Linked DNA regions of Callithrix jacchus. The main gene of each other region encodes a partner of the protein of the gene in region 2 in a complex. Links are inferred from orthologs where the notes say so. Each region holds a gene or a part of one and is shown on either strand. Other genes may lie near its edges. The genes, in order: POLR1H and POLR1B.

Region 1 (16,164 bases), on a different chromosome or scaffold from region 2:
CATCACTTTCCGTAGAGCTCTCACCAAAGGCCCGAGGTTTCTCATAAATACAGCAGCCTGGATTTAGAGAGAGGAGCCCAGTTAAAGAGGAAGGGTAAGATGTACAATCAGTTCCATTTGCACTCAATCTCAGTGAAAATTTCTATTTCCTCTTACCTTCCAGGATCCAGCTCCCCCAGGCCCACCCCTTGGGACTCAGGCCCTAGCCCCCTTGTCCTCTTACAGAACCAAGAAATCAAAGCCCCACTTCTGCCACCTCTGATACTTCTTGCTGGCAGACCTAGGCAAATCCAATTCTAGCCCGTCCCTACCTCTTTCCCTCAGCCCTTAACCTCTTTCCCTGATACCAGAGAACCGCCAAAAAAGTGACAGAATTACAAGCATCTGGGGGCTTCTGGAAAGCCAGTGAATATGAGTAGATACAAGATATGCTGAAGGGAGCCAGAACTCCAGGACTACTGTGGGCCAACAATTACTCACATTTTGATGAGCGGCGGCCCATGTGTTCATTGTCCACAGTGTCACTTGTCCATTCCACCTTTTTCTCTGGCTTCCGTTTCCGAAGTTTGATGGTAAGGCTCCGGTTCTCCTAGAAGGTTAAGGATGGGCGTACCTATCTAGTTCCTTCCTACTGACCTTTCCCACTCCCTCCCAGGGAACCTTTTCTCTTTTCTTCTTTAGTTCAATCAGTACCATAGACATAGCACCAGAGGAGCTGAGACAAGATAAAACAGAACAGGTCTTTGACCTCAGGGAGTCCCTTGAGGAATAGTATTATTTCCTGTTCTTATACCACCAGTATAAGAGGATTCAATTGCTAACCTAGGGAAGGTCCCAGCAACTCTTTGAAGGAAAATATAATCCTTGCTGTTTCTCTGTCTTCCTCCCCAAATCATCCTTGGTAGTATGAATACATGAAAATTATTTTTCGGTCCCCAGCACCTAATCTTTGATTTCCTTTCCTTTTTCCAGATCCCCTATTCTTTTTCCCATTAAAAACAACAACAACAACAACAACTCTCATTCTCAAGCTCCAGCCCTCCTTACCTCTTATCCGCCCATTCCCTTGCATCCTGGCATCTCTAGTAGCAAGTATTACTAATCTATTAATTACTAAACTCCCTTTAATCCAAGAGTATTAAGCCCAATGCAACCTTCTCCCTTTGAAGGAAACTTAACATGTTTTTGGAAAAATACTTCTTGTTTCTCCATTTACATCTTTGCTCTCTGATTTCTCAAAATGCCTGTTTTCATCTAATTTTCTTGTTTCCTCATTCCTGTCACTTCCTTTTACATTCATCCATTCAACAAATATTTATGATAAGTATTGATAATATTGATAAGTTGGCCTTCAACTGTGCTATCTTACACGACCTTTGATTTCCTCCCAACATCTTCCTGGCTCCTTAATCCTCAATTTCCCATTCGTTCATTACTTATACACATAACCCAAGCAGCATACATCCATATCCTTACTGTACCTCCCTATTACGTCTCTTGATCAGCCTCCTGCACCATCTCTGCCACTCCAAATAGCTCCAATACCTTCCGATTCTCCCAGCCCCAGATACCCAACCCCACACCTCCCATATCCCCAGGCCCAGCTCCTCCAGCAACTCTTCTCAGCCCTGTCCCCTCCCTCCCAGTATCTCCCAGACCCCTAACAGCACCGCCCCCCGCCTTTCTCACGGGCTCGGTTGTCACGGTAACCGTTGTCTCAGTGACGGTCTCGCTCAGCCCAGCCCCTGCCTCGGCCATGGCTAAGGCTCAGGAGAGGGATGAGAGGAGGAAGGGGGATAAGACACCCTTCCCTTTTTCTGTCTCTGAGGTCTAAGAGAAGCGGTATCGGATTCAGAGTGGTAGCCAGGATCCTCCACCTTCTTTTTTCCCCCTCCTCTTGGGCCTCCGCTTCTCCACCCCTCGGGATAGCCTGGCCAACTCCACTTCCGGCTCTCTGCTTCCGGGTGTGACGCATTCTGCAGTCCTCCTTTTTCCCTTCCCCGGCACCAAATGCGTCAAAGCGCAGGCGTCGCTGGATTAGTTCCGCCGTAACGTGACAGCGCGCAGGCGCTGCAAGAAAGAGAAACAAATTTGGCGGAAGGGGTATCATTGCCGGTGTCGGAGGCGGGGCGAGAGTCAAGGGCAGCTCGCGCTTGCACAGCCTAGAGGAAGCAGGAGAGGCGCCCAGATGGGTACAGCCGGGCAAGAAACTGCATAGTGGGTGTGACGAGGGCGAGGTGTGTGCACCAGGCTGAGTCCTGCCGCAGTCCATTTACCCTGTCTGGGTGAGTGGACGGGCGAGGAAACTTGAGGAGAAATATAGACCCTATCGTGGCCTATTTCCCTTTCCTTGTTGTTTCGTCTGGGTTTCTCTAATGAAAAAGGAACTTGGGAGCAGTTGGAAACACACTTAAGACTCAAGTGATGTGGGTCCTAGCCCTCGCCTCGTGCCTGTAGGTGTTTGAGCAGGGCAGTTTAGTGCACGTTCAACGTGGGTGTTTTTTTTTTTTTTCCCAGTCACTGTGCTACGCCTTGAAGATGGAGGCGCGTAAGACACTCAGACCCTGACTTTTAGCTCCCACTCTAGTAGGAAAGGTAGGCAAGCGGAAAACTGACAAAAATATGAAGTATTGGAGCATTAACAAATGCCAAGTCTGATCTGTAAATCTGAATTTAGTTACTGCCAACATTCTCTCTGGGGTGATGAGTAGGATGAAGCAGAGAAATGGTCATAAATTACAGTATAGACCGTTTTATAAAGATATATGCACGTTTCTTAAGAGGGCAAAAGAAAGTGGTAAAACAAGAACCAGGAAGGCAGACAAGTAGGTTTTAGAGAGCAGCTTACAAAGTTGTAGATGTGTGTACTACAGGAAATGGAGTTTTGTACTGCTTGGATCTGAGGGACTGCCAGATGAAGCTTGACAGGTAAGTAGTGGTTATATGCAAGGATCTGAATACTTTCCTAAGAAACTTGGGCTTAATCCAGTCAGTGTTATGGGCCAGAGAAAGGCTTAAAGTAGGGTAGAAACATGAATAGGTTTGTTTCAGATTTCAGGAGTGGGTCAGGAAAGTCAACTGCTGCAACAGTTCAAATGTACAGTGGGAAAGACTACCCTACCCATTTTCCAGGTTGCTGTCAAACAAGATAGCTGTTTGAGAGCTCTGAATATATATAAAGGGCCATACAATTATGTGATAATTATTACTGAACCCTTCGATCGCCATTTAAGCCCAAGAATGCAGAACCTGAGTATGTATTTGTTCCCCTTGAAAGTTTTTGGTCCAAACAGAAAACAGCAAGACAGTTCAGCATATCTAGTATAGTCCATTAAGAAAAACCAAACACATATAGCACCACACATATATAGAGCCACATACATATACACAAGCACAGATACACCGTATAATTTGGTTATCTCTGTGGAGTAGGATTCCTTGTGACTTTACTTTTTTCTATGTTACTATATAGGAATCTATTATAATATACAGTCGATCCTTGAACAATGTGGGGATAAGGGGTGCTCACCATTTGAACAGCTGAAAATCCATATATAACTTTGACTCCCCCAAAACCTAACTACTGTTGACTGGATGCCTTACCAATAACATAAACAGTTGATTAACACGTTTTGTATAGCATTATATACTGCAGTCTTACAGCCAAGTAAGCTAGAGAAAACATTAAGAAAATCATAAGGAAAAGAAAATATATTTACTATTCACTAAGTAGAAGTGGATCACATTTTCATGTCGAGTAGGCTGAGGAGGAGGAAAAGGAGGGCTTAAATGTGATGCTATCTTACGGGTATCAGAGGTGGAAGAAAATCCACATAAGTAAACTCAAGTAGTTCAAACCCGTGTTGTTCAAGAGTCAACTGTATATTGTATTTATCTCAGTAATAAAATATCCACCTGTAGTGATCACTTAGTGGTATTATGTAGATTTTTTGTTGTCCAAATTTATATACTGAAGAGATCTGGTCAGAATTTCTGTGAAATGTCTCACTCTCCAAATTCCTAGTTTTTCTTACCCTAAATTCAGGAACCAAATAGATTTAAGTAGAGTGGCAATACTTATAATTGCTTTTTGTTTACATTAGCCTCATTTCTGACTCTACTTTTTTGTCCTTATTTTTCCCCCTTTTCGTTTTCATATATCTCTGTAAACTCATTTAAATTCCTTTTGGAATAAGGTAGATTATAAGTAACATACATATGTCAGGGTCTTATGGAAAAATATAACTTTAATAAGGAAATTCAACTAAAGGTAAGAGTACTCTGGGAACAATGATAATCCCCACATGATGATCTGATTCTCTTCTGGGAGCAAAACATTGCAACCAGATGGGATGGATAAGGCATTGAAGAACCCAGCATCCTTCACTTTCCAAAAGGAGGGAGGGACTGTTGAGTTGTCCAGAAAAAAGGTCAAGAGTCTTCCTTCTCCTGGAACCTATGAGGAAAGAAAGGACTTGTTATATTCACTCAAAGAAGAGTTTCTAGTAGTATAAGATATGCAATTAAATAATCAAGGAAGGACTTTTATTTACGACATCATTGAGGACTAGCTCCCTTAAATAATCCTCCAATTCCAATTCCAAGACAACTAAAAATGCTGGGATTAAAAATATATCCAATGAATTATAACCTCAAAGCAAAGGTTTCTTAGGACACAAAAAGCACTAGCTGTAAAAGAATAAAAAGGGATAAGCTGGACCTCATAAAAACTTAAAACTTCTGCTCATTTAAAGAGGGTTAAGAAAATAAATAGGCAAGCCACAGTCAGGGAAAAAAAATCTTTTTTTTTTTTTTTTTTTGGTAAAATGACAACCAGCGATAGGAAAAAATACTCTTAAAAGATATATCTGACTGTGAATATTTTTAATCCATTGATGAGATGGTGAGAAAGTAAAGGCAAACTTCACACTGGTAAAAGTTATGCAAAACCAGAAATCCAGACAGTGAAAACTGAAGTCCCAATGAAACGTGACACTATGGTGCCCTTAATACTGTTATGACGGTCACTGAAAGCATAGGAAATGAGGGACAAAATGTAAAAGGTCTGATAGGAGATTCCCTGCATAAATTTGGGAACTGCAAAGAGCTGCCCTTTTTTGTAAAAGTGAACAAGAAAAGAAAAAATTCAACTCTATAGAAGGGGAATTTGTCTTAGTAGGCAGGAGAGAAAACTCTCTCCTGAGAATTTCTAACCATAAGCTAACCCTTACGTGGATTTGCAGCTCAAATTCATACTATCTGTCTGCTCCAAAAAACATGAAGCCAAGAATTTATTTAAAGTAATTCCAGCTTGATAGTGCTTCAAGGAAAAGAAATGCAAATGCTGAGAATACAGCACTCACTCAAGGTCTCAAAGAATTCCTACAGTTCAAGTTCTAAAAAACTCAAATTTATAGACAAAATCACAAAACAGAAAAAAGGCACCATGAGAGAGCAGAAACAAAAGACAGCAGCATCAGAAGACAAAATCCATGGATATCAGAATTATGAGACATAGACTATAATAACCATAATTAATATTTTAAATATATAAAGAATGAACAATTTAAAATATGATTAAGGAACTGAAAATTATTTAAAAATTGAGGAGATTTGAAAAGTAAATAGAATTCAAAGTAATAGCAATAATAAAAAATAATATTTAAAATAAACTGAAGACAGAATTAGTGACATGGAAGAGGGACCTGAAGAAATTACCCAGAAGGTGGCATAAAGAGAAAAGCGATTGAAATATGAAAAGAGGGTGAGAGAAATGGAGGACAAAAGAGACACCTCTCTTCTTGTAACTAATTAGAGGTCCAGAATGTGAGGACTGGGAACATGGGGGAAAGGCAATATTAAATGAGATGATAGCTGATAATTTTCCAAGGCTGATTAAAAAAAAAAAAAATTCACTCTCAGTTTCAGAAAGTGCAACAAATCCCAAACGGAATTTTTAAAAAATCACATTTTTATATACTGTAGTGACTGAAGGACACCAAAGACAAAGATGATGTCTTAAAATAATTCAGAAAGCCCATGTTCCCTAAATCGTGCGTGACTAATTTTCTCCAATGTAAAGCTACCTTGACTGCAGTTGAAGACTGCAGTATAAGATGCCGACCACTAAACAATACCTGCTTCTTATGTTTTTTGTTTGTTTGTTTTTTCATTTCCTTTTATATATCCTAAAAGTAGGTCAGACAGGGTAGCTCATGCCTGTAATCCCAGCCCTTTGGGAGGCTGAGGTGGGTGGATCGCTTGAGCTCAGGAGTTCAAGACCAGCCTGGGAAACACAGAGAAATCCCATCTCTACTAAAAAAAAAAGAAAAAAGTGTAATAAAAAAAATAAAAAAAAAAAACCAACCACAAATGTTCTTATTACCAGAACTGCACAGAAATGGGACGAAAGGAAATGGTGGTTTAGAACAACAACAACAGAATCACTGGATTTGTTTAGTTAGCAAACAGACTGAGCAGAGGGAGGGGAAGGGATGCCCACTTGCAGTTGGTACAGGTGTAGAAGACAGTTTGCCCTTCGTCTGCTGAACGCATCTGTCTGGTGTGGTAAGCCATTCCTTCATGACCACATCGAGAGCAGCGCCTGTCAACCTGGGAAGAAACCGGTGGGTTAGGGAGGCCAGTTCATATCCCCTCACTTCCCACAGGAATCAGGCGATCACTCCTCTCAAACATGGATGCTTTACATCTCTTTTCCCTCTTGGACTTGGGCACACAACTCTCCAGATCTCTGCAATCATTCCTCCGTTTCTTTCCTACCCACCTTATGGAGCCAGTCATTGAGCTCATTAACTTACCACAGGTCCCTGGAACTCAGGCCCTTCCTCCACCGACACAGGCATGGCTGTCCCCAGCTGGTGGAACACAACTGAAGTCTTCACAACCTTCCCCTCAAAGTCTGCACAGGCAAGTAAGAACTGGTTATGGAGACAACCAGAGGGAGCTGACACCGGAAACCTCCCCTTTCCCCTGACTGGTTAGGCCAGGAAGCCCTATATCCTTTCCTTCATTTTTCATCTCGAGACCAAATGTACAATTGCCTGATCTCCTGCTCTAGGGTCCCCTGCCGATCTTGAGGTCCCCAAGTTTCCGACCCTGGACCCTCCGCCAGGACCACTGCGTACAAGCCTCTCACCCCGAACGTTGATGTTGAAGCCACAGCGAGTACAGGTAACCGTATCCTGAGCCCCTGGCAGAGGCAGGACCGAGCCGCACTCTGAACAGAAATCCAAGTCCGACTGAAAGCTGGAGCAAGTGCTGGCTAGGTCCATGACGCATATGCGGTCAGGCCTGAAGAGGGAGTTAGAAGTTATATTAACAAAAAGAGAGGAATCCCCCCAACACAGAGGTCATAACAGTTCTGTCCCAGTACCTGGGAGTATATAACCCGAGCTCTCCTCCCACGCACGCCTCCTGCCTCTGTGACCAGGGAGCTGAAACGCCCGGAATGGCTTACCAGCTAGCGTCGGGTAGTAAAGGACTTGCAACCCTTTCCTGGGGCCGGCGAGAGGAGCGAGCCAACTCCATGGGCTAGAGCGGCAGCTCTACGCCCGCCGCTCAGCGGCGAGCTAGAGCCGGCTAGAGCGTCACGCATTCGGGCTGACAATTGGTTGTGACGTCATAAATAATTGCGAACCTTGTCTCGGGAGCCTTAGAGATGGAGCCTAACCTCTCCGAAGGGAGTTTGCGGCTTCACTTTCACCCTAGTGCTGAGACGTTGAGCACAAAATTCGTAGCCAATGCTGCGCTTCCAGCAAATTTTCCCACCAGTACCCAATCCTCGGATATTTATTCTTTGTCTCACATCCTACAGGAACCGAGTCCCGGGAGATATCCCCCTGAAAACTGTATTTTGCTGAATACTGATTTCTTTGGATTAGAGAACTACAACTATCCCTGATCCTGAGCAGGTTTTTCCCTTTTGCGGCTGCAGAGTAGTTAAAAAGAAAGCTAAGTGTTCTGGGACGTACAGTTTTAGTGTTCCTTGGGTCCCGCTGGAGAACGTGGGCTTTCAGCAGAGCGCAACTAGCCTTGTGTGCTTTGGGAACAGTTCGCCGCTTGTAAGGGGTAAGTCGGATTCTTGAGGGACCGCAAGTGGTGAGGGTGAAGTCAGGAGGTACAGGGTCCAGCCCTACAGGGTTCTGTGAGCCCCTCTCTGTTGGTGTGGAGAAAAGAAACCAGAAATAAAAGACATAAGACACAGAGATAGAAAGTTTGGGTGGGGTGGCGTGGGGTGGGGGGGGTTCACTGCCAGCCAGATCGCGGAGTCCGGCAGTGGCCCCGGTCGTGTCTGCGCATTCTGACTTTTTTTGAGTACAAAGCTGAGGGCAGGGTAAGTAGGTGTGGCATTGGTGGTTGGTGGTCAGCAACCAGGGGAAAGGTAGATGGGGCGTAGCAGTGATAGGGTCAAGTACATCACATATCATACAGGTACGGACCCAGGAATTTCTAGGAGCCGGGATGAGGCAAGGAGCCTAATGCGTTAGCACTTTTCCATACTTGTTAAGAAAGAACAAAGACATTAAGTTTATATTACTCTTACTGATTATCTCTTCTAAGAAAATAGGAACCTGGTACAGAAGTAGGACATGAGAGTGGACATGGAATGTGACCACTGAAGCACAGCATCACATAGAGACAAATAAGCCCCCGGATGCCTGTGGGTCTACCTGACAGCTGTCAGGCCTAAGGCAAGAGATTGGAGGAGTGGAGTTTTCGCTTAACTCCCCCGGTGAATGAGACGTCTCAGCCAGCTTTGGACGCCTCCTTCCCTAGCTGGCTCAACAGCGGGCATTTTCTCAGTGCTGACGCGGTAGCACAGCAGAGGCGGCCCTAGTCGCCCTTATGCAGGCATAGCTGCTGTAAAGCGTCTTGCTTTAGGGTCATTGCCCTCACAATGTCACCCCAGGTTCTCACTTTCCGGCCTGAGACCTGAGAGGCATTAGTAAAAGAATTAAGATCACCTATAAATAACTAAGATCACTTGTGAATAATTAAGCCATCACTATTTTCTCTTGTGAAGGACAGAAGCTGTAGTCTTTCGTTGGAAGAGGCTCCCATCTGCCTTTCTCTGTAATGGAGAGAACACCATAGCGAAAGGGTTAAAACTCAAACTGCTGAAGAATGACAAGGCCTATCACTTAACTGTGAAATGGCTTGTTATTTTGTCTTGTCTTACAAAGGGAGATGTGTTGTTGAGCTGATTGTCATAGGCAGTTTTTATTCTCACTTATCTGTGTGTCTGCGTCCTTTGTCAATGGAACTTGAAATTAGCCTTCTGCCCTCCTCAGTTTTTTTTTTTTTAATTTGAAAAACACTCAGCTAACATCCCCTGTGAATTTCAGTAAAGGAACAAAGCATTACAAGGCATATCCTTTTCCCAAGAAAAGCTCACAATCAAAGTATTTATTGAGCAACTATTCCAGGTTTTGAGCTGAGGCTGCGAAGTTGAAGTATGTGTTCTCTGACATCAACGAACATGAATGAATAATTATGATACAATAAAAGTGTGCTAGTAGGTACAAAATGTGAGAGCCCAGAACATGCATATAAAGAAAACATGTCTGTAAACTTCAAGGAGGACTGGGAAATGATTTAATAAAAAGATAGATACAATGTATGGCAAATATTTAAAAAGATGTTCAGATATGTGTCAAGGATCATCAGCAATCAACAAAGTCATTAATTTTGAGAACTTGGGATCACAGACTGTAATGTTAAGTACTGTGCTAGAAGCCATGTACAGAGAAGTAAAAGTAAGATCATACTTTTAAAATCTCAAAATAAGCTTACATAGGCAAATAAGAATGTTCCTAAGAGGTGAGTGAGACCAAATATTTGATATCAAGTCCTTTCCAATAATATAGAGGCATCACAATTGTAGATACAAATTACAGTTTTCCACTCATGAGCCTAAATCTCAGCATCAAAATGTTAAAAGTGATATATGACTACAGATATCAGTGTAAGTCATGATTAATTTTCAAATGAGTTATAGAATTAAAATATGCCAAGTGTTTAGAGGAAGGGAAAATCACTGTGACAGAGTAGAGCAGAAAGACTTTATAGTCAGGAGCTTGACCTGTGAAGGACAGATAGAATTTATTGAGAACTTACCAAGCTCTTTACCTTGAATTCATAATTGTTCTTTATAACACTGAGAGGCAGATTTTTGTCTTACGTCTCCATTTTATAGATGAGAAAACTGACAGAATTTACATGCCCTGAGTTTCACACCTAGGAAGTGGTGGAATTAGGATTCAGATCTAGCCCTGTCAGACTCTAAAGCCCATCCTTTGAGCTGTAAATGGTATAAAAGGCACAGAGAGGAAATGCCAGGCATCCTCAGTGACTTAAATATGACCTCACAGTAAGCTCAGGTTTGACCAGGGATGACACATAAAAGTTGATAGTTTTCATTTGTGTTGCTACCAGCCTTCTCTACAAATAAACCACAAATTCCCATCCTGAGGAGTCTAACAGGGAACAGTTTCATGATGGATTTAGGGTAAAGGATGATTGGCGTTGGAAGGCAGGCAAGCAGAGGGCTGGGCAATCAAATAACAACAGAATTTCAGGCTGGGCACAGTGGCTCATACCTGTAATCCTAGCACTTTGGGAGGCTGAGGCAGGTGGATTGCCTGAGCTCAGGAGTTAGAGACCAGCCTGGGCAACATGGTGAAACCCCATCTCTACTAAAATACAAAAAAATTAGCTGGGTGTGGTGATATGCACCTGTAATCCCAGTTACTTGGGAGGTTGAGGCAGGAGAATTTCTTGAACCCAGCAGGAGGTGGAGGTTGCAGTGAGCCGAGATGGCGCCACTGCACTCCAGCCTGGGCAACAGAGCAAGACTGTCTCAAAAAAAAAAAAAAAAAAGCAGAATTTCAGAACAAAAGATTAGAGGGCAGAAACGCTGTATGTGCTGATAGAGGCAGAGAGGGCTTGGATCAAGAAACTACAGAAAGAGAAAACTAGAAACCTAGAATCATCTAGAAAACTAGGACCTAGAATCATCTCAGAACACAGAGGAGGCTTGAGGACTGAGCAGTCTGACACAGATGTACTTGGACAACACCTCAATAAGGAGCATGTCTCTTCCCACTCACAATCCCCAATACAAGATTCACAGTGGTTCACACTGAGTCCACAGGAAAAGTATCCTTGTTCATGTGAAAGGAAAGATCCTCTTTTTAGAAGAGCATTCATTATTTTCCACCACAGGAATGCACTGGTTTCCCATGGGGGCAATGGCCCTGCTGTAGTCCTGCCTATTAGCAACTTTGTTCTGACACCTCCTACATTTTAATTTACCTTTGTTTTTTTATCTTCCAGATTGGCCTGGGCTACTTCATCTAAAGATCCTAGGATTGCTGCAGGTCAGCAGTCTCCACTGGAGAAAAAGATCTTGGTAAGTAAACTGTCTTTATATTGTACAGTTTAGAACTACACAGAGAAGGAATCTTAGGTTTAAAATCCTTCTGCCCAAGTGACGCATTCCGGTAGTATGTCTACACTGGCAGATGTTTCCCAGCTATAGCCACAGTTGCAAAATAAAAAATCATTTTGAAAACTTCGAACACCATGCATTTTTTAAACTAGTTATTGATTTGTGGTAGTGAATACTTCATGCTTTCAGAGCTCACAGGCTCACCTGCGAGTGATGGGAATAAAAATAATAATTATTGAGCTAAAGTAAAAGAGCATCTAGCTTTTCCTGGTGTCAGTAGGGAGGGTGGGCTTGGATCTTGTTTAAATGTGTTCTCAAAGGAAAAAGATGATCATATCGTAAATTCCTAACTTCACTTTGACAGAATCTAGGTGGTCTGCATACAACAGCAGCAAGACGGTTGGTAGCTCAGAAATATCAAGATGAGTATGTAACACTCTGTAGGGAGAAAGCTCTTTCTCTTGACTACTGGTTGCCAAAGCAGAGTCTTTTCATCATAAAAGAATACTGGAAATGATGAAAGAAGAGACTGGCAATGAAATCAAGAAAAAAATGAAGGGGAAAACAACCCAAAGCACAGGACTAAAACAGTATTATTTGGTACCTGAGAGAGAGATGAAACACATAGAAAGGCACATACATCATACAGGACAGGCTAGAAAATCTAAGAACAAATCACTTAGACAAGTGCTACAACTCCCCAGTGAAACAAAATTACCAAAAATTATGCCAGAAGGGCATGGCATCCAGAATGCACAGAGAAGAAAGCAGGTAAATGAGAGGAAACAGATGCAAATTTAGGATCACCAGGAACGCATGATTCAAGGGAGAGCACTTACAGAGCAAAGACTCAAGGAAAGAATCTTGAGAAGAAGCCAGAGCCAACTACCTACATGTGAGAAGCATGAGAGAGTAAAGAAAGAGATAAAGGAGTTGGAAAGAGTTATTGCATATCCTCTTTTCCAGCCATGCAGTAGAAGTCGGATTAAGGTGAATATTCTTATGGAAAAGTCTCAGGATGGAGAGAAAGTGAATACAATTATGAAACCATATCAAAGAGAATTCTTGACCATGCCACCCTTTTTAAGAAGTCAAATGGGAAAAATAAGAGATTAAACTTTCAATGCTGTTATGATAAAATTATATCTCTTATGTGAACCTTTTTCTTTTTAAAATGCTCATTCTCATTTCTCCCTGGGGTTCAGTGAATATTTCCGTGTGTATCAGATATATAAGATAGTTCTGGGCTGGGCGCAGTGGCTCAAGCCTGTAATCCCAGCACTTTGGGAGGCTGAGGCGGGTGGATCACGAGGTCAACAGATCGAGACCATCCTGGTAAACAAAGTGAAACCCCGTCTCTACTAAAAATACAAAAAATTAGCTGGGCATGGTGGCGCGTGCTTGTAATCCCAGGTACTCAGGAGGTTGAGGCAGGAGAATTGCCTGAACCCAGGAGGTGGAGGTTGCGGTGAGCCGAGATCGTGCCATTGCACTCCAGCCTGGGTAACAAGAGCGAAACTCTGTCTCAAAAAAAAAAAAAAAAAAAAAGAAGATAGTTCTGGACTTGAAAATTAGCTTAACTATTTTTAGTTGATTTGCATTTGTTCAAGTTTTATATCCTTTCTAATGTTCAGCGCCCCTGCTTTTTTTTTTTTTTGAGATGGAGTCTCACTGTGTCACCCAGGCTGGAGTGCAGTGGTGTGATCTCAGCTCACTGCAACCTCCACCTCCCAGTTTCAATGGATTCTTCTGCCTCAGCCTCCCGAATAGCTGGGATTACAGGCACCTGCCATTACACCAGGCTGATTTTTGTATTTTTAGTAAAGATGGGGTTTCACCATATTGGCCAAGCTGGTCTCAAACTCCTGACCTTAGGTAATCCACCCACATTGGCCTCCCAAAGTGCTGGGATTACAGGCATGAGCCACAGTGCCCAGCCTCAGTGTCCTCATCTTTAAAGTGGCAATAGTAATATTTGCTAGCATTTTGGAAAGACGATTGTTTTTGTGAAATGTAAGTATATATTAGTTGTTTCATAACTATTAGTTTCCCCACTTGGGAAGACTGGTGTTGGGCAATGATGGTGAATGAAGAATTGTTCTAAACTGCTTCTTTTATTCTCCCTGCTCCCCAGCTCTCCAAGGGTTATTTTGATGAGATTGCTATCTTTTAGTATATTGTCTTTAATATCATACCTTCATCAGAGAACTACTAGCCAGGCCCTAAAAATGTAATTTGCCCCATACAAGTTATTTGTATGAGAAACTTAGAGAGCCTCCTACATGCTTTTCCCTAGGCATTGTATTAGTTACTGAAGGTGAATAAAGAGAAGTCTCTGCCCTTGACTAGTTTTCGTAATGGCATAGATCACTCTACAAACATAATGTAGTAAAGGTTGCCATAGAAAGGTACAGGGTGCTGTACAAAGGACGGATTCTAACCTGGCTCAGGTGAGCAGGGTGAAAAGGAGAAAGGTTAGAGAAGGGAGTGTAATAGTCTCTCACGTTCCTTCCAGCTCTTTTTGTCACTTTCTGTCACCCACTTAAGCAAGACCTTCCTGATGTTTGGACCTATTCAGGGGTAATCAAACTTAGCCTTTCTCAAACTCGGGCCTCCAGCACTCACTGATAAATCAGAAAGTAAATTTATAAATTTAAGTGAGAATTACACTTGTAAAGCAGAATGAAATTTATGTTTTCTAGTCAGTTATTTTCTTCCAACATACCAGAAAGTTGGAAAAGCAGGGATCCAGAGTAGAGGAGCAGAGATGCAAATACATGGAAATGGATGCCCTCAGGAATATTATGCTTAAGTTGTGATAATTCTGATGTCCACTTGCTTTACCAGCAGAACACCCTTTACCCTGGATATTGCGAGGTCAGCCGCTGTTCAATAGAACTTTCAGTTATGATAGAAATGTTCTGTGCCTCTGCTCTTCAGTACAGTAGTCCTCGCTACATGTGGGTATTGAGGCATTTAAAATGTGGCTAGTGCAGCTGTGGAATGGAATGTTTAATTGAATTTCTTTTAAATTTAAGTTGCCACATGTGCGAAGTGACTGCTTTGTTGTACAGTGTGGCACTGGATAAACATAACTCCTGTGTTCTAGACTCTGGCCAGTCCCACCAGTAGCTTACTGTTTTTGACAGTGTTTGCTGGTATGATAGGTCACTATTCATTTTACATTACTGTCAGTTTAGTTTCCTTTATATTTCAGAGGCTCCCTAATCCCTTCAAGAGATTTAAAAATCAAGATAGACCACTTCTGTGTGAAAATAAGAGGGCTGAATTTGCTTTGATTGGAATTAGGAACTGGCCCTCTCTTTGCTAGTTCTGGAATTTGGCCAGGATGCATATCAGAATCTCAGTCCTACCCTCCTGATTTGCCTCATGTAAACTTTGCTGCTGTGTCTGTTCTCTGGCCTTCTATCACTATGTCTCAGCTTTAGGTTCTATATCTTGCTTAGAAATGGATCACCAGAATGCAACAGGCAGAAGACTTAAAAGTGCAAATCAGTAGGGTAATGACAAATCCTTTGAGCTGAGTGGGGCTGAAAAGTAACCTAACACATGACCTATTAGTAATTGTTTACAATGAAGATTTTCAGAGCTGGACACATAAATTGCACAACTCCCCCTTTTCCCTTCCATATCTAGCATAAAAGCAACTGGTGATCTGAGGGCAATTTCATACCTAATATGACTAAGAATAAAGGTCTGTGTTTCAGGAGCTCAGTTTGTGCAGACCTGAACCCATCATCTCTACCTCACAAATTATATCCACCTTTTCATTTCCTTGCACTGTGTCTGCATGATATGATAATACTCCCAAGCACCATTGCTTAAATCTTTAGTCACACTTAATGCTTTTTTTGGGGTCTTTTTTTCTTTTTATCGTGAAATAGGATATACAAATGAAAATGTTTATTTAGAAGAACAATAATAAATGTCCAGGTGCTCATTGCTCAGACTGAGAAATGGAACATTACTACATCCCAGAGCCTAGTATGCTCTCCCCATTCATATCTCCCTCCCCCTCCCCTAGGGGCAACCACTATCCTGAATTTTGTATAATTGTCACCTAGCTTTTATAGATTTTACTATGTATCTCCAACAGTTGCTTATTTATAGCCTTTATGTAAATAGAATTATACAGTATATGATTACTTTTGCTCATTATTATTTTTGGATTCATCCATGTTGATGTGTGACACTGTAGTTCATTTCCATGGCATGAATATGTCACAACTAAATTATATATTCTGTTGGTATCATTTGGTTTCCAGTTTTTGTTTTATTTTTCTTTTAAAAATATTTAGATAAACATTCCTTTAACATGTTTAATCTCATGTTCTGGTGCCTGTGTGCCAGACGTATATATGATATATAAATTGTGGTACATTTATTTGACAAGCCTGATCTTGGAGCCTGTTAGATTTCTATTTCATTGTGGCATTATGCTTCTAAGCCTGTTCTGTAGAGTCTGACACATGTTAGCCACTTAATAGATATTTGTTGAAAGAAAGAGGGACATGTGTTAACTGCTAGAGACACAACGGTGTCAGGCAGAGCCAGGACCAAAATACAGAAATTGCTGATAACAGACCACTTTGCCTTCTTACTCATCCTGTCCAGGTACAATCATAGTCAACCTTTGTTTATGCTTATATTTCAGTTGAGGTACTAAAATATTT
Region 2 (15,965 bases):
AACAATCTAGTTGGTAATACTACTTAATGCTCTATTAACCAAGACCGCTAATTCATGCTTACTTAACTTTAATTAAATAAAATTAAGCATTCAGTTTTTGACCTGCACTGGCCACATTTGAAGTGCTCATCATGCGGCGTGTGTCTGCGTACTGGACAGCACTGGTATGGAGCTGGCTCCTTTAGTAATTACACAGTGGTTATATAAGACAAAGTCCTTGCTTTGAAGAAATAAAGACACAAGGCCTGCAACTTTCAAACAGTACAGAAAGAAAAATGTACATCTGGGTATACAGCAAGTAAAAAAGCAAATGTAAGTTAATGAAATGTTCACAATTTGTGAATATGAGTCCAATGTACTATTTGGACATTATTCTGGATGTCAGAAATGATTTCAAAATAAAAGTTGGGACAATAAAATAAAACACAACTACTAAAAAAATAAAGGTGAGAACAGCCACAAAATCAAAGGCAGCCCCCAGCTAGCAAGGACCAGAATTCTACCCCAAGATCCATTCTCATTCCCAGATGACTCACCCACCCAAACTGCAACGAATACAAAGAACCACTGACAGCCCTCTGCCCCTTCGGAAACAGTTCAGGCAAAGCACACATACTTAAACAGGAACTCCGCAGCTTGCTCATTTGGGTACCAGTCAGGAACATTGAGCTTTACTCTGAAGCATTCACCTAGATAGTTAAGGACCTGTTTCTGTGTGGAACAACCCTCTTCCATTACAATCCTTAACATCTGAGAAACAGAGTTTCTAAAGAAAGAATCATCCTCTTTTCCTTTGATGAGCTCCTGAAAGATCTGATAATCGGAAAAGCTGACAAGTGCCTAGAACAGAAAATAAAAGGTTTTCTTTTTAATTTCTCACTAATAACTAAAATATTTCATCTATTCAGTAACAATTATCTTCTCTTTTTTAATACCCAAGGAAATTAGCACTCTGCTAATGCTGAACCAAAGAAAACTCTAAATAAAGCATTCTTTGTATGATAGACAGACAGCAATATGGCCTCCAGGCTCTTCACCTCTTGGTGTTCATAAACGTGTAGTTTCCTCACATGCTGAATCAAGGCTGGACTGCTTGACCAAGAGAATGTGGTGGAAAAGATGATGGGAGACTCCAGGGCTAGGTCACAAAGGGCATTGCAGCTTTTGCCTTCTGCATCTTCTGCTCTGTTCTCTCAGCTAACTACGTGGAAGAAGACAGCTGTCTCAAACAGCCTATAGAAAGGGCCATATAGACAGCAACCCCATGAGAAGACCACCTGCCAACAACCAGCACTGATTTGCCAACCATGTGAGTGAGCCACCTTGGAAGTCCTCAAAATGACTGCAGTCCTGTCTGACATCTCAATGCAACTTCCTGAGACCCCGGTTCACAGATGTCCAGCCAAAGCACTCTCAAACTCCTGACCCACAGAAACTGTGAGACAGAAATGTTTATTGATGTTTTAAGGTATTGAATTTTGAGGTAATCTGTTTTGGAGCAGTAGATAACTAGTATGTTATTTTAATAAGAAGAATACATCCCATCTGCACAGGATACTACCTTCAATGAATTCTTCATAACAAAAGAATGCATTCATTAAGTCATACCTTAAGTGCAAATCCCAAAGGAAGAAAAAACAGTTCTTTCCGGTAAATAAAGTTCAACATAACAGTGCCATTTTCCAAGTAGTGGAGGTTCATATTGACAGCAGAATGTTCTTCTTTCACACAGTGCATTGAAACTCCTATTGAACCGAACAACAAAAAAATCAGAAACTCAGTGATTCTATAATTGCTTCAATCATTTTTTTCCTGAACAATCTTACCTCCTTACACACAATTAAAGCCAAATCATTAAGTTTAGCCAAGAATGGCAATCAAAAATGTTTCTAAAACTTAGCAAATGTCCTCTTGCATGCAAAATCTACCCAGATTGAGAAACACTACTGTAAAATAACTGAAGCTATGAATTTAAGCAAACTTCAAAGTTTTCCTCCAGGACAGAGTCCACATCTTTTAGCACTTTATATCCCTCTTAAACTGTGGAGTCTGGTCAAGACACGGTGTTTGATCTAATAGTGCCAATGGAGAAAAGTAGAATTTTAGATTTTAAGTTTATTTCAGTTTCAGGCAAAGACTGCTAAGACATACCACTATCAACTCAGGCAAAAGAAAATGACTAGACATTCTGACATGCTCTTTTTCTAGGTACAGTACGTATTACTACAATTAAAATCTGATTTTTAGCTCAACTATCAGGACAAATTGTTTAACTTTCAAGGCAGCTCAAGAATGCAACATGCTATCTTAAGCACTGTCACAGAGAGTGCTCAAACAGAGGCCAGGTGGCTGTCAGACAGAGACCCTGAGGGGTGTGCCACAGTGGCCTGAACCTGAAGACATCTAAGACCCACATTCACCTATGGCCAAGGCAGACTAGCCTTCATCTTCATAAGCAATAACAAAAATACACATGCTCTTTCAGTTTGCACAGGTAAAACATAATAGCAGGTTTTCTACCGTGAAATTTTTGTATTTTTTAAAATGCTTATAATTGATAAAAATCATATATATTCAAAGTGGACAATACCTTGAATATACATATACATGTAATGATTTCCACAATCAAACTGATAAAAACATCAATCACCACCCATAGTTATCATTTGTATGTATGCACGTGTGTGTGGTTGAGACACCTAAAATTTACTCATCAAATTTTAAGTAAGCAATACGGTATTACTGTCGTCACCAGGCTGTACATCAGATCCCCAGAACTTACTCGTCTTGTAACTGCAAGTTTGTATCCTCTGACTAACATCTCTCCATTTCTTCTTCCATCCCCATTACGAAAACTTAACACAGGAATGCTCAGTAGAAAAAAACAAAAAAAAACCCAAAAAACAAAAGAAAGCCCAGGCATGGTGGCTTACACATGTAATCTCAGCACTTTGGCAGGCTGAGGCGGAAGGACTGCTTGAGCCCAAGAGTTCGAGATCAGCCTGGCAACATGGTGAAACTCCATCTCTACAAAATTAGCCAGGCATGGTGGCACATGCCTGTGGTCCCAGCTACTTGGAAGGCTGGGGTGGGAGGATCACCTGAGCCTGTGAAGGTCGAGGCCATGGCGAGTTGTGATCACACCACTCTGCACTCCAGCCTGGGTGCCAGAGTGAGACTCTATCTCAGGAAAAATAAGAAAAGAAAGAAAAAAGAAAATTATCAAAGACTATTTAAATGCATCTACTTAAAAAAAAAAGGTTTTAAATTTTCCTTAAAAAACATTCTAGTAATCTCCAGAACTTACCATACTGAGTATAACCAGGCCCTCTGGTTTTCCATTTTGGTCTTATCATTGCAATGGGAAAATTTCTCCGAGGCATAATCAACATTCGGATGACCTTTTCAATGCCATTGATTATAAAATAGCCCCCCATTTCCTACCAAAGAGATAAATTACAATTTGTTAAACAAAGATACATGACTGTAAACATGAACCTCATTCCTAGCCCAAGGCAGTACAACACACAGAACAGGAGCACAGAGGTGAAAAGTACTACTGATCCTTTGAGAACACAGTACACAGACACTGCCTTTGTGTGAATTAAGTTTTCTCAAGTAGATTACAAAGGTCTGAGGGACATGGAGAAAAGTATGGAAGAAAAACAGGGTACTTCTATTAGACAGGCTCAACCTAACTTGCTTTTCTGTCCCCTAAAATGATTTCAGTCTTCAAATAACACTAAAAAAAACTTACTCCAAAGAGGTGTCAAAAGATAAAAACGGTAACCATTTTGCTTCAATACTCGAGTATGGTTTCCCAAATAAGTTCAAAAAAATACTTTTAATAGCTCCACTCAATATTACATTTTTGTAATAAAGAGCTACTATTTAAGAATTGCCTGCTACGAAACAGGCTTATTATACTAGATGCTCTATGTCACCATAACACTTAATTCTCATAACAATGAGTGGGATAGCTATTATGCCATTTGCAGCAGAGGAAACTGAGGCTCAAGGAGATTAACCTCCCCAACCACATGACTGATAAGTGGAAGAGTTGTGTGTCAAATCCAGATCTGACACCAAAACCCTCTTCCCGCCACATAACACCATCTGCCTCTACTGTAGGCACAGACTGTATGTCTTGATTACCTCAGTGCAACACTGCAAAGCCACCTAATACAGCTGAAAGAAATGATGAAGGGAAGGCATGAGTCATTAAATATGCACATAGAATCTTACTATTATTAAAGCAGACATTTTAATTTTGTTTTTAGTGATGGGGTATCACTCTGTCTCCCAGGCTAGAGTGCAGTGGCACAATCACGGCTCACTGTAATCAGGCCTCCTGGGCTCAAGCAGTGCTCTTGCCTCAGCCTCCCAAGTAGCTGGGACTAACGGTGCATGCCACCACCATGCCCAGCTAAACAAACATTTTTGCCAATAGCTTTGTTGGTTAAGACAGCTTGAAAAAAACAAATTTCATGGAAGTATATCTTTATCATTCAGAAAAACCTACCAATTCTTCCCCCAACCAATAATATTCTCTAATTTTATAGCCACTTTTTCATACTGTCTAATTTGATGCCATTCAGAGCCATAGCCTGCGTGCAGGCACGATACTGATATCTCTTTCACCTATCCAGAAACTGGAGCAGAGAAAGAAAATGTGGCCCCCACTGACACACTTCTTGTCTTCCTACTCCCAACTCAGGCCTTCTCTACTGTCTCACACCTGGATGTCCGTGATTACCTCTGCCTCCTCATGGTGCTGAATGAGGGCTTGTGGGGGAAGGTTGTGTAAGTTGCAAAGCTTGGACTTCACCATGATGGGAACATAGCCCAGAGACTGCTTAATGATTCCTTTTGAGATTCCATTCACTGCCCAGTTGACATCGACCTAAAAAAAATGAGAGACAAAATTACTTAACAGAAATATCTGCACCTGAGAAAACAAATGAGTATTTTCAAAGAATGAGGAAGATCAATTAAATGATTTTATGCCTTAGATTTAGAAGGTGGGATCTCTTAGACAACAGCATCATGAAAGCAATTTCTGGCATAAACTTTATTAGGCACCTGCCCTAGTCCCAAATATGTGCATTGTGAGGGTACTCACTGTCAACTTCCCACGATAGGTACTCCTTCGGCCCCGGCATTCTGCTGGATAAACACTGGCCTCTTTGCAGATGGTCCCTTTTGGAACTGTAGGTGGACTGATAACAGCATCCAGAATAGTGAAAGAGATACGTTGATCTTTGAAAGCAAATTCGAAGGGAGGTATAGCCTGAAATGCAATTCACAGTATTAAACTGTTTGCATTTCCAAGGCACTTTTTCTCTAAGACTCTTCCAAATCTTACATGTTCTACAAACACTGGTACCTGTGATGCTACCATGACACACCTAAAAGACAGTTAAGGCTACCTCCATTCTACTTATAACTTCACTAAATGCATAAAGCCACAATGTATTATTAGCTCAAGATTTTATTTGAGTACCTACTATGTGTCAGAGACTGTAGCAGGCTCTAAGGATACAGCTATGAACAGAACAAAGCTCCTGTTCTCCGAACCAAGAGCCTTGTGTATTCTTACCTTGTCTATGTGTGTAGCAAGACAAATGAGCTCTGCTGCTAATAAAGCAAGGATATGGAAACAACCTTTAGGACTTAAGACTAGATGCTTAATGTACAATGGTTACTTCATACTGGAGCCAGAGCCATGAAAAGGAAAAGATGGTGGCCAGCGGGGGTTTCCCCTTCCACAGAAGTTACTTCTTTGCACCACTCTGTGGAGGAAGCTTTGCTGTTCTGAGGAAGAGGGGTCACCAAGCTCTCCTACATATTCATTGCAGGCAACCTCCTAGCCTTAGTCTTAGAATAATGAGAATGAAAAGAATGGAGCCAAGAAAGAATACCAATGAGGTTCTCCACCCTCACGAGAGTTAACTGACCTTTTCTAAATATTTAAATTTTATCTAAAGCTGGTATTATTTTAGAATTTCATATTTTATTAAAAAAAAAAAAAAGCCAGGTGCAGTGGCTCACACCTGTAATCCCAATATTTGGGAAACTGAGGCAGGGGACTACTTGAGCCCAGGAGTTCGAGACCAGCCTGGGCCACATAGGGAGACCTTGTCTCTACAAAGAAATAAAAATAAAAAAATTAGCTGGCCATAGTGGTGTGTGCCTGTGGTCCCAGCTACTTGAGAAGTTGAGGTGGGAGGATCACTTCAGTCTGGAAGGTCGAGGCTGCAGTGAGCTATAATCATGCCACTTCATTCCAGCCTGGGTGACAAAGTAGATCTTGTCTCAAAAAAAAAAAGAATGGAGTATTAGTTTAAAAAAAGAAAGATTACAGGATTTGCTTTCTCAAGACACAGCTGCACTATTTAGATCTAAATACAGTGAATTGTTGTCATTCACAATGTTATGTTCTATACAGTTGCCATAAACACTGAATTAGCCAATACTGAACCACTGCTCCTAGGGTAAATACATGGGTAGCTTCCTGTAAGCCTCTGGTCACATTTCATCAACTAATCAACACACAATCTCGCATTATGTATGTTTCTGTTTAAAGGCAGCCTATTTAATATATATTACTGAGTCCCTAACTCAGGCTTGAAAAAAGCCTATGTTAAATGCATGTATTAATATTATCCCCAAAAGGCACAGCTTGTGGGATAGGAACTTTATACAGAACTTTAATACTTTGCTTGGGGGCCATTTTAAACAATAAAATCCCCAACAAAAAGCACAAAGAAGGCACTAAATAATAGTGAAGATGACCCCTGTTTATAGTTTATAAACTTAAAACAAGAAGGCCGAGCATCACCTTGTTGGATCTCAGCTGGAAAAATGGATACTGAACAACTCAACTTTTTCACTGCTTCTGGGCACGGTGCTTTTGCAGTACAAGTAAATTTTAGTGAGTGGGTAAATTTGCAAAGATAGACTCCCCAAGTAATAAAAATCAATTGTATTTTGAAAATATTTTGAAAAGACAGACCCATAAATTCTGACTCACAAGAGGAATTCACTCCAAAGAAAGTAGGCAAAATTACATTTTGTAAGTACATAAAAATATGATAAAACTTTTTTTTCCCCTTGGCTTTATAAATAGTAGTCATTTACTTTACTGTGTTTTACAGAACATTTTCAAATATGTTATTATTACAGTCCTAGATAAGTTGTGACATTATTTTCTGTGCAGGGCCAAATTTTCTTCATCTACTTCAACCAAAACAATGTATCACAAGGAGCTGAATGCAGAAGCAGACATGAGAATCCAGCTGTCTTTTCATTAAGCCAGACATTAAAAAGATTTTTAATAATGCAATTCATCTAATTTCTTTTTTGCTCTGAAAAATGATTTTCATAAAAATGTTAACATACAATTGGTTTATTTTTATTTCTGTTTATTTATTTATTTTTGAGACAGAGCCTTGCTCTGTCGCCCAGGCTGGAGTGCAGTGGTGCAATCTTAGCTTACTGCAACCTCCACTTCCAGGGTTCAAGCGGTTCTCGTGCCTCGGCCTCCCAAGTAGCTGGGAATACAGACATGTGCCACCATGCCCGGCTAATTTTTGTATTTTTAGTAGAGACAGGGTTTCACTGTGTTGACCAGGCTGGTCTGGAACTCTTGATTGACCTCAAGTGATCCGCCTGCCTCAGCCTCACAAAGTGCTGGGATTACAGGCAAAAGCCACCACACCCAATCAATTGGTTTATTGATTGATTGATTGATTGATTTTTGAGATGGAGTTTCACTTTTGCTACCCAGGCTGGAGTGCAATGGCGCGATCTAGGCTCACCGCAACCTCCGCCTCCTGGGTTCAGGCAATTCTCCTGCCTCAGCCTCCTGAGTAGCTGGGATTACAGGCATGTGCCACCATGCTCAGCTAATTTTTTGTATCTTTAGTAGAGACGGGGTTTCACCATTTTGACCAGGATGGTCTCGATCTCTTGACCTCGTGATCAACCTGCCTCGGCCTCCCAAAGTGCTGGGATTACAGGCGTGAGCCACTGCGCCCGGCCCGAATTAGTGCTTTTCTAAAATTTCTCAATTTGATTATCTTTTTTTTAAAGACAAGGTCTCGCTCTGTTACCCCAGCTGGAGTGCAGTGGCACAATCATAGCTCATTGCAGCCTTGAATTCCTGGGCTCAAGTTAGCCTCCCACCTCAGCCTCCTAAGTAACTGGGACCACATGTGCCCACCACCATGCCCTGCTATCTTTTAACTTTTACAGAGGACGAGGTTTCACTATGTTACCCAAGCTGGTCTTGAAATCCTGGCTCAAGCCATCGTTCTGCCTCGGCCTCCGAAAGTCCTGGGATTACAGGTGTGAGCCACTGTACCTGGTCTAATTAACTTTTAATTAGGTATTTTTTCTCACAGACATGATACTCTAAGAATCCAGGCACAATACATACAAATATCCCCACCACTCTTGTCTTCCCAAAAAATAAATTTTAATGCCTCCCGTATTATTTGCGGAATAGAGTTCAAGTATCAGACTGGCAATCAAAGCTCTTCACATTATCTCTACCCGTATCTCTCACAACACAAATCTTACACAACAAAACCACAGGTAGGGTCCCCTAAGCATGTGACTCTGCTCTACTCTTCCCCTGGACGGAATGCATGTTTCTCACCTCTTGAACTCATCTAATCCTGCCTTTTCTCAAACTCCTGGACTAGTTGCGCTGCCTATATGCTCCCACAGTAGCCCATAAAATCCCTTGACAGAGCAGTGCTCGCGTATTGGCATGGACTACTTTCCTATCTTCACTCCTTTAACCCCAAAACACGACAGGGACCACTTAAATGTATGAACTGTCTCTTACACGGGACTGCGGCCTTCACATCCTCAGAGCCTAGTGCCTAGAGACACTGGGGATACTTACTAAACGAAACTTTCCCCCACCATCCTCACCTCAATTCTGCTACCATTACCCTACGCTAGTAATGCTATTACACTTTTCGATTCAATCTTGCCTTTACGACTCATTTATACCTTCTTTAGCACCTACTTAATTCAGAACAAATGAGTAGTTTCTCTCTTTAAAGCTCTAAGAAAAGGAAACTGAAGGATAACCTTGTACATTACACTGTACCTACAAATACGTTCAGAATATTTTGAGGTACGTTTTGGAGAGGTGTCTTCAAGTGATACAAAGGCATGTGCATTGTGAATGGTTGGGAAGCACACCCCCAATAAGCCATTTCCTCACTCTCACAGAACCCAGAAACTATCCAACAAGAAACTATGGTTCGCAATCACTTTTCAATCCAGAAATCACGAATACATCTCTTAGACGACTCGAATACACGTTCCACGAGGCCCAGCTCTGCGTCTTGTTCAACACGTGTGCTCTCCCGCTTACCCTCTGAGCCTGTCAGGATCAAGGAGCAAACGCATTTTGGGTCACACTGTGGCCTCTGAGCCATTTCTCTGGGACCCTGTCACCGCCCGCGCCCCACAAGGCCCAGACCTCACCCCCGCCCCTCCCTCCTCCAGCTCCGCCTGGCCCCTCTCGCCCGCCAGCCTCGAGCTTGGTCTCTCCGCGGCAAGGGCGCCAGTGGATGCCGCACTCACCTGCACCGCGAGGCCGAGACCCTCGTGCACAGCATAGTTGAAGGACTCCACATGAGCCCGCGTCAGCTCCTGCAACGCTGCCTTTTGCTGTTCCCGCGGGATTCCATAAGACGGGTCGGTCAAGTGCTTTAGGCTAGGCCCATTGGGAAGGTTTCGCCACCGGCTGCAGGGATCCATGCGGCTACTTGCACACCTAACACCCGTCGCTCAGTACGCGCCGGAAGTAGTGGCCGGAGTCCCGCTTCCGCAGCCTGCTGGGAAATGTAGTTCCCTCTTGTTCCGCCCGCCCTAGGCCCTACGGTTTTTATGGGGTCGACGTAGAACCAAAACCGTCGAGTGAACGGGCCGGTTAAAGCTGTATCCAGCCAGAGCGTGGCGGGTCCGCCCCTTCTCCCATCTTCCGCTCCACGCATCTCCCTCCTCTGCTAAAGAAGGCGAAACCCACTCCTCACCCAGTTGAGCGTGTGACCTCTTTGGCTCTCATTGGCTCAGTCAATTAGGATTGGAGGTAAGCGGTCTTCTCAGGTTCCCATCTATCCGGTCCCTTAACCTGTTCCAAGTCCCACGCTGATGCCGACCCTGGGGAGTCATCCGGACAAAGTCGTTGTTTCAATGAAAAATCGGATGCCGGGCCCCGGGCTCTTTACCCAACTCCTAAATCGCGAGGCTCACCCCTGGAAGGCCAAGGTCGGGCCCGCTAACCTCCCCGCATCGTCTGGACTGGAGTCCTGGGGGAGGCCCGGGGAAGGAGGTGGGGTAGGGGTCGGGCGGTCTCAGATGGAGAGGCTGTGGTAGGGGGGCGTCCAACATTTAGTACAATGTTGAAGGGACAAGAATAAATATACTTGTTTTGTGCCTGATGTTGGAAGAAAGCTCCCAACTGGAGCATTCACATCACCATTAATATGATGTAGGCTGTGGGTTTTTCCAAAGATGCTCTTTATCAAGTTGAGAAAGTAATTTATTTCTAGTTTGTTGAGAGGTTTTCTTCCCAAGAGTGTTATTGCCAAATGCTTTTTCAGTGTATATTGAAATGATCATGTGCTTTTTGCTCCTTTTTTCTACTAAAGTGGTATATTAAGTAAATTTTGTAAGTTAAACAAGCTTTGCATTCTTTTTTCCCCTTCTCAACGTTTATTTTAGAATCAGGGGTACCTGTGCAAGTTTGTTACAAATGTATATTGCGTGATGCTGAGGTCTGGGACACGGTTGAACCTGTCACCCAAGTTCCAATAGGTAGTTTTGTATCCAATAAGTAGTTTTAAACCTTTGCTCCCCTGCTTCTCTCACTGCTCTAGTAGTCCCCAGTGTCTGCTGTTCCATCTTTATGTCCATGTGTACCCAATGTTTAGCTTCCACTTTTTAATTTAATTTTTTTTTGAGACAGGGTCTTGCTCTGCCACCCAGGCTGGAGAGTAGTGGTATGAACTTGGCTCACTGCAACCTCCTTTTCTCAAGTTCAAGTGATTCTTGTGCCTCAGCCATCAGAGTAGCTGGGATTACAGGTATGCGCCACCATGCCCAGCTAATTCTTGTATTTTTAATAAAGATGAGATTTAACCACGTTGCCCAGACTGGACTCAAACTCTTGGCCTCATGTGATCTGCCCACCTTGGCCTCCTAAAGTACTGAGATTACAGGTGTGAGCCATCACCCCCAGCCTAGCTCCCACTTACAAAAGAACATGTGTTATTCCAAACATTGTAATCTTAGGATAAGTCATAATGTATAATCCTTTTCCTATGTTCCTGGATTTGGTTGACTAGTATTTTGTTGAAGATTTTTTCTATTTGTATTCCTAAGAGACTATTGGTATGCTATTTACTTTTCTTGTGACATCTTTGTCTGGTTTTAGTATCAGAGTATTAAGAGTGAAGTCATAAAGTTAGCTGAGGATTATTTCCTTCTCTTCTATTTTTTAGGAAAGTCTGTGAAATATTGGTGTTAATTCCTTGCCATCTGGTCCTGGGCTTTTCCCTGTGGGAAGTTTTAAAGGAATTATTATTAGTCGGGCCAGGCACGACTAATAATACACCTGCAATCCCAACACTTTGGGAGGCTGAGATGAGAGGATCACGAGGTCAGGAGATTGAGACCATTGTGGCTAACACGGTGAAACCCCGTCTCTACTAAAAATACAAAAAATTAGCCAGGTGTGGTGGTGCACACCTCTAGTCCCAGCTACTCGGGAGGCTGAGGCAGGAGAACCACTTGAACCTGGGAGGCAGAGTTTGCAGAGGCAGAGCTGAGATTGTGCCACTGTACTCCAGCCTGGGCGACAGAGCGAGACTCCGTCTCAGGAAAAAAAAAAAAAAAAAAAAAGATTTTCATGCTTTGTAGGTAAAAAAGGAAAAAAAAAAGGAATTGTTATTAGTCTGACCTTCTTACTTGTATATTTCTTCATTAATACAGAAATTAACAAAATTTGTTATTGATTTCTGATTTTATTCCAACATAGAAAACATGTATAGTACGACTTCAATTCTTTTAAATTTACTGAGACTTGTTTTTATAGCCTAGCACATGATCTACCCCAGAGAATGTTCCATGTGCACTTGAGAAGGATGTGTATTTTGCTGCTGTTGGGTGGAGTGCCTTGCAGATATTTGTCAAGTCTAGTTGGTTTATTGTATTTTTCTATTTTGTTGTTGATCTGCCTAGTTTCTCCAGTTATTACTGAAATGGAGTTTTGAGGATTCCAACTATTGTAGTTAAATTGCCTGTTTCTTCCTTCAGTTCTCTCAGTTTTTACTTCATGTATCTTTAGGCTGTATTGCTTGGTGCATATGTTTATCATTGTCATATTTTCCTAATGGATTGATCCCTTTATCGATCTAAAATGTCCTTGACATACAAGTGGCCAGGAAACATGAAAAAATGTTCATCATCACTAATCATCAGAGAAATGCGAATCAAAACCATAGCGAAATATCATCTCACACCAGTCAGAATAGCTATTATTAAAAAGTCAAAAAACAACAGATGCTGGAGAGGCTGTGGGAAAAAAGAGAATGCTAATACACTGCTGGTAGGAATGTACATTGGTTGAGCCACTGTGGAAAGAAGTTTGGGGATTTCTCAAAGAATTTAAAATGGAGCAGCCAGGCATGGTGGCTCACACCTGTAATTCTAGCACTTTGGGAAGCTGAGGTGGGTAGATCACCTGAGGTCAGGAGTTCGAGACCAGCCTAGCCAACATGGTGAAACCTGTCTCTACTAAAAATACAAAAATTAGCTGGGCATGGTGGCACACACCTGTAGTCCCAGCTACTCAGGAGGCTGAGGCAGGAGAATCACTTAAACCTAGGAGGCAGAGGTTGCAGTGAGACCAGATAGCACCACTGCACTCCAGCTTGGGTGATAGAGCGAGACTCCATCAAAAAAACAAAAATAAAAAAACAGAGCTACCATTTGACCCAGCCTCCCATTACTGGGTATATATCCAAAATAAAACAATTCTTTCTACCAGAAAGACACATGCACCTATATGTTTATCACAGTGCTATTCACAATAGCAAAGGCACGGAATCAACCTAGCTGCCCATCAGCGGTGGATTGGATAAAGAAAATGTGATACACACACACACACACACACACACACACACACACACAGTGGAATACTGTGCAGCCATAAAAAGAATGGAACTATGTCCTTTGCAGTAACATGGATGGAGCTGGAGGCCATTATCCTAAGTGAAATAACCCAAGAATAGAAAACCAAATACCACATGGTCTCATTTATAAGTGGGAGCCAAACATTAGATACACATGGACACAAAGCTAGCAACAAGAGACACTAAGGACTACAAGAGGGAGAAAGACTACAAGAGGGAGAAGGGAGGAAGGGGAGCAAGGACTGGAAAGCTAACTATTGGGTACTATGCTCACTACTTAGGCAATGGGATCGGTACCCCAGCCTCAGGACCCATGTAACAAACCTGCACATGTACCTCCTGAATCTAAAATATAAGTTGGAACTATATAAAAAAAAGTCCTTCTTTGTCTGTGGGAACAACTTTTTTCTTAAAGCCTATTTTGTCTAATATTAGTATAGCCACTCCAGTTCTTTGAGTTACTGCTTGCATGATGTATCTTTTCCCATCATTTTACTTTCAAGCTATTTGTGTTTTTGAATCTAAAGTGTGTTTTGCCAGATGTATTGACTGATGCCTGTAATCCCAGCTACTTAGGAGAGATTGAGACAGGAGGATTGCCTGAGGCCAGGAGTTCAAGACCAGCCAGAGAAACATAGTACAACACTATCTCTAAAAAAATTTTTTAAAGAGATATCTGCACTCCTATGTTGATTGTAGTCTTGTTTACAGTACCCAAGATTTGGAAGCAATCTAAGTGTCCATTAGCAGATGAATGGCTGAAAAAATACATAGTGCTTATACACAATGGAGTACTGTTCAACCATAAAAAGAATAAGATCCTGTCACTTGCAACAACATGGATGGAACTGGAGATCATTATGTGAAATGATAGCCAGGCAAGTTTTGAAATAAGTCAGGCCCTATCTCTAAAAAAAAATTGTTTTAAATTAGCCAAGTATGGTGGTAAGCACCCATAGTTGCAGCTACTTGGGTGGCTGAGGTGGGAAAATTACTTGAACCCAGAAGTTTGAGGCTGTAGTGAGCTATCATTACACCACGGCACTCCAAACTAGGCAACCGAGCAAGACTCTGTCTCTAAATAATAAAAATAAAATGAAGTGTGTTTTTTTGTAGCTAGCACATAGTTGGATCATGATTTAAAAAAAATCAATTTGCCAATCTCTACCCTCTGATTGGAGTGCTGAATTCATCTGCATTTAATCAAATTACTGATAAGGCAGGATTTAGCTACCATTTTACTGTTTGTTTCCTATGCCTCTTTTTTCTCCATTTTTTCATTGCTTCCTTCTCTTTTCTTAAATAGATATTTTTTAAGTGTAATATTTGTCTTGTTTTTTTTACTATATATTTAAAATTATTTTCTTAGTGGCTGGTGTGTCTTGAGGTGGACTCTGAGTCTTTCCTACTTAGAATTTTTTGAGCTTCTTGGATTTACTTTAATGTTTTTCATCAAAATGGAAAAGTTTTGGTCACTGTTTCTTCCAATATATTTTATCCCATTCCCTCTCTGTCACTTCTCCATTCTACGACTCATATTATATGTACATTGGTATGTTTGATGGTGTCTGACAGGTCTCTGAAGTACTGATCATTTTTCTTTGCTGGTTTTTTTTTTTTCTGTTCCTCAGACAGGATCATCTCAAATTCTAATTCACTGATTCCTTCTTTTACCAGTTCAAACCTTTTTTAAACTTGTCAAGTAAATTTTTCATTCATATTTTTGTACTTTGCAACTCCAAAATTTCTACTTGGTTCTATTTTATAAACTTCCCACCCTCCCTCCCTTTTATAAATTTCCCTCTCTCCCTCCTTCCTTTCCTTCCTTCCTCCCTCCCTCTTTCCCTCCCTTTCCCTCTTTCTGCTTGCCTTTTTTTTCCTTCCTCCTCTCTCTCTTTCACTTCTTCCTACTTTTCTTCCTCCCCACCCTTCCTCCGCTTCTGTCCTCTCTTTCTGCTTGCGCAGACCCTTAAGGTCAGACAGATGTGAGAGCTAGACAATTCTCAGGTCTCTTTGGGCATGTGCACAGCCATACACAGGCGTGGCCTCTGTATCCTTAGGAATAGGTTGAAGCTTCTCGAAACATCTTATTGACATCTCATTCCCAGCTTTTCCTTCTAAGTCTTTTGTCAGTTTGTTTGTTCCAAATGTTACTTCCAGCCACCTTAGGAAGTTGAGATGTTAAAGAATTGCTGTTGATTTTTTCTGACAAATGCACCCAGGGAAAAGGTTGTTCACACTGGGTAACCTCTTAGTCACATCAAATGAAGACAAGACCTAGGAGTTGACACTTACCTGGAACTACCAAAAAGGTCAAATGGCAATTCCCTGGTAATGAGGCTTTGGAGGAGCTCCAGTCCCCTTCTGAGCCCTACAGTGGTGGCTCGGTTGCTGGATGTCACCATGATTGTGTGGCCAAGGCTGTTGTGGAGCTTGGGAAAGGGGGAGTGTGAATAGGTTGTATTAAAATGTCAGAAACCTCTTCTTACCCAGATGCAACCCTTTTCTTGAATAAATGGATGGCTGCAAGCCTCTGGTTAATGTCTAGACAGTTTTGCTAGTGTTGTCATTGCTTTAAGGAAGAAAGGGTTTTCAGAGGTTCTTACTTTATTATTCCTACTGATGTCCTCTCCTGAGTTTTAAAAGGAATTATGCTTGCAACAGTCTTTAAGTTGTGCTACTAAGTACTGCATTGGACAGCAGTTCATTTTCCTTTGCCTTTAGGGATTGCTATGGTTTGAATGT

What was found.
Region 1: POLR1B (region 2) and POLR1H share a complex: the UniProt entries of both Homo sapiens proteins name them as parts of the pol I pre-initiation complex. The link is inferred for Callithrix jacchus from reciprocal best matches to the Homo sapiens genes POLR1B and POLR1H.

What each region holds. Positions count from the first base shown.
Region 1 is NC_133505.1:34,791,346-34,807,509, reverse strand, and holds POLR1H (DNA-directed RNA polymerase I subunit RPA12), read right to left. Parts: upstream 7,592-16,164; 5' UTR 7,549-7,591; coding exon 7,478-7,548; exon of another isoform or gene 7,312-7,477; coding exon 7,157-7,311; exon of another isoform or gene 7,079-7,156; intron 6,920-7,078; coding exon 6,819-6,919; intron 6,613-6,818; coding exon 6,503-6,612; intron 4,457-6,502; coding exon 4,432-4,456; 3' UTR 4,230-4,431; downstream 1-4,229. Other genes in the region: E3 ubiquitin-protein ligase PPP1R11, read right to left, coding at 1-57, 481-589, 1,878-2,272. UniProt on the Homo sapiens protein: Core component of RNA polymerase I (Pol I), a DNA-dependent RNA polymerase which synthesizes ribosomal RNA precursors using the four ribonucleoside triphosphates as substrates. Can mediate Pol I proofreading of the nascent RNA transcript.
Region 2 is NC_133515.1:22,048,063-22,064,027, forward strand, and holds the start of POLR1B (DNA-directed RNA polymerase I subunit RPA2), read right to left. Parts: upstream 9,816-15,965; 5' UTR 9,784-9,815; coding exon 9,607-9,783; intron 5,291-9,606; coding exon 5,123-5,290; intron 4,904-5,122; coding exon 4,757-4,903; intron 3,441-4,756; coding exon 3,308-3,440; intron 3,181-3,307; exon of another isoform or gene 2,783-3,180; intron 1,746-2,782; coding exon 1,609-1,745; intron 841-1,608; coding exon 617-840; intron 1-616. UniProt on the Homo sapiens protein: Catalytic core component of RNA polymerase I (Pol I), a DNA-dependent RNA polymerase which synthesizes ribosomal RNA precursors using the four ribonucleoside triphosphates as substrates.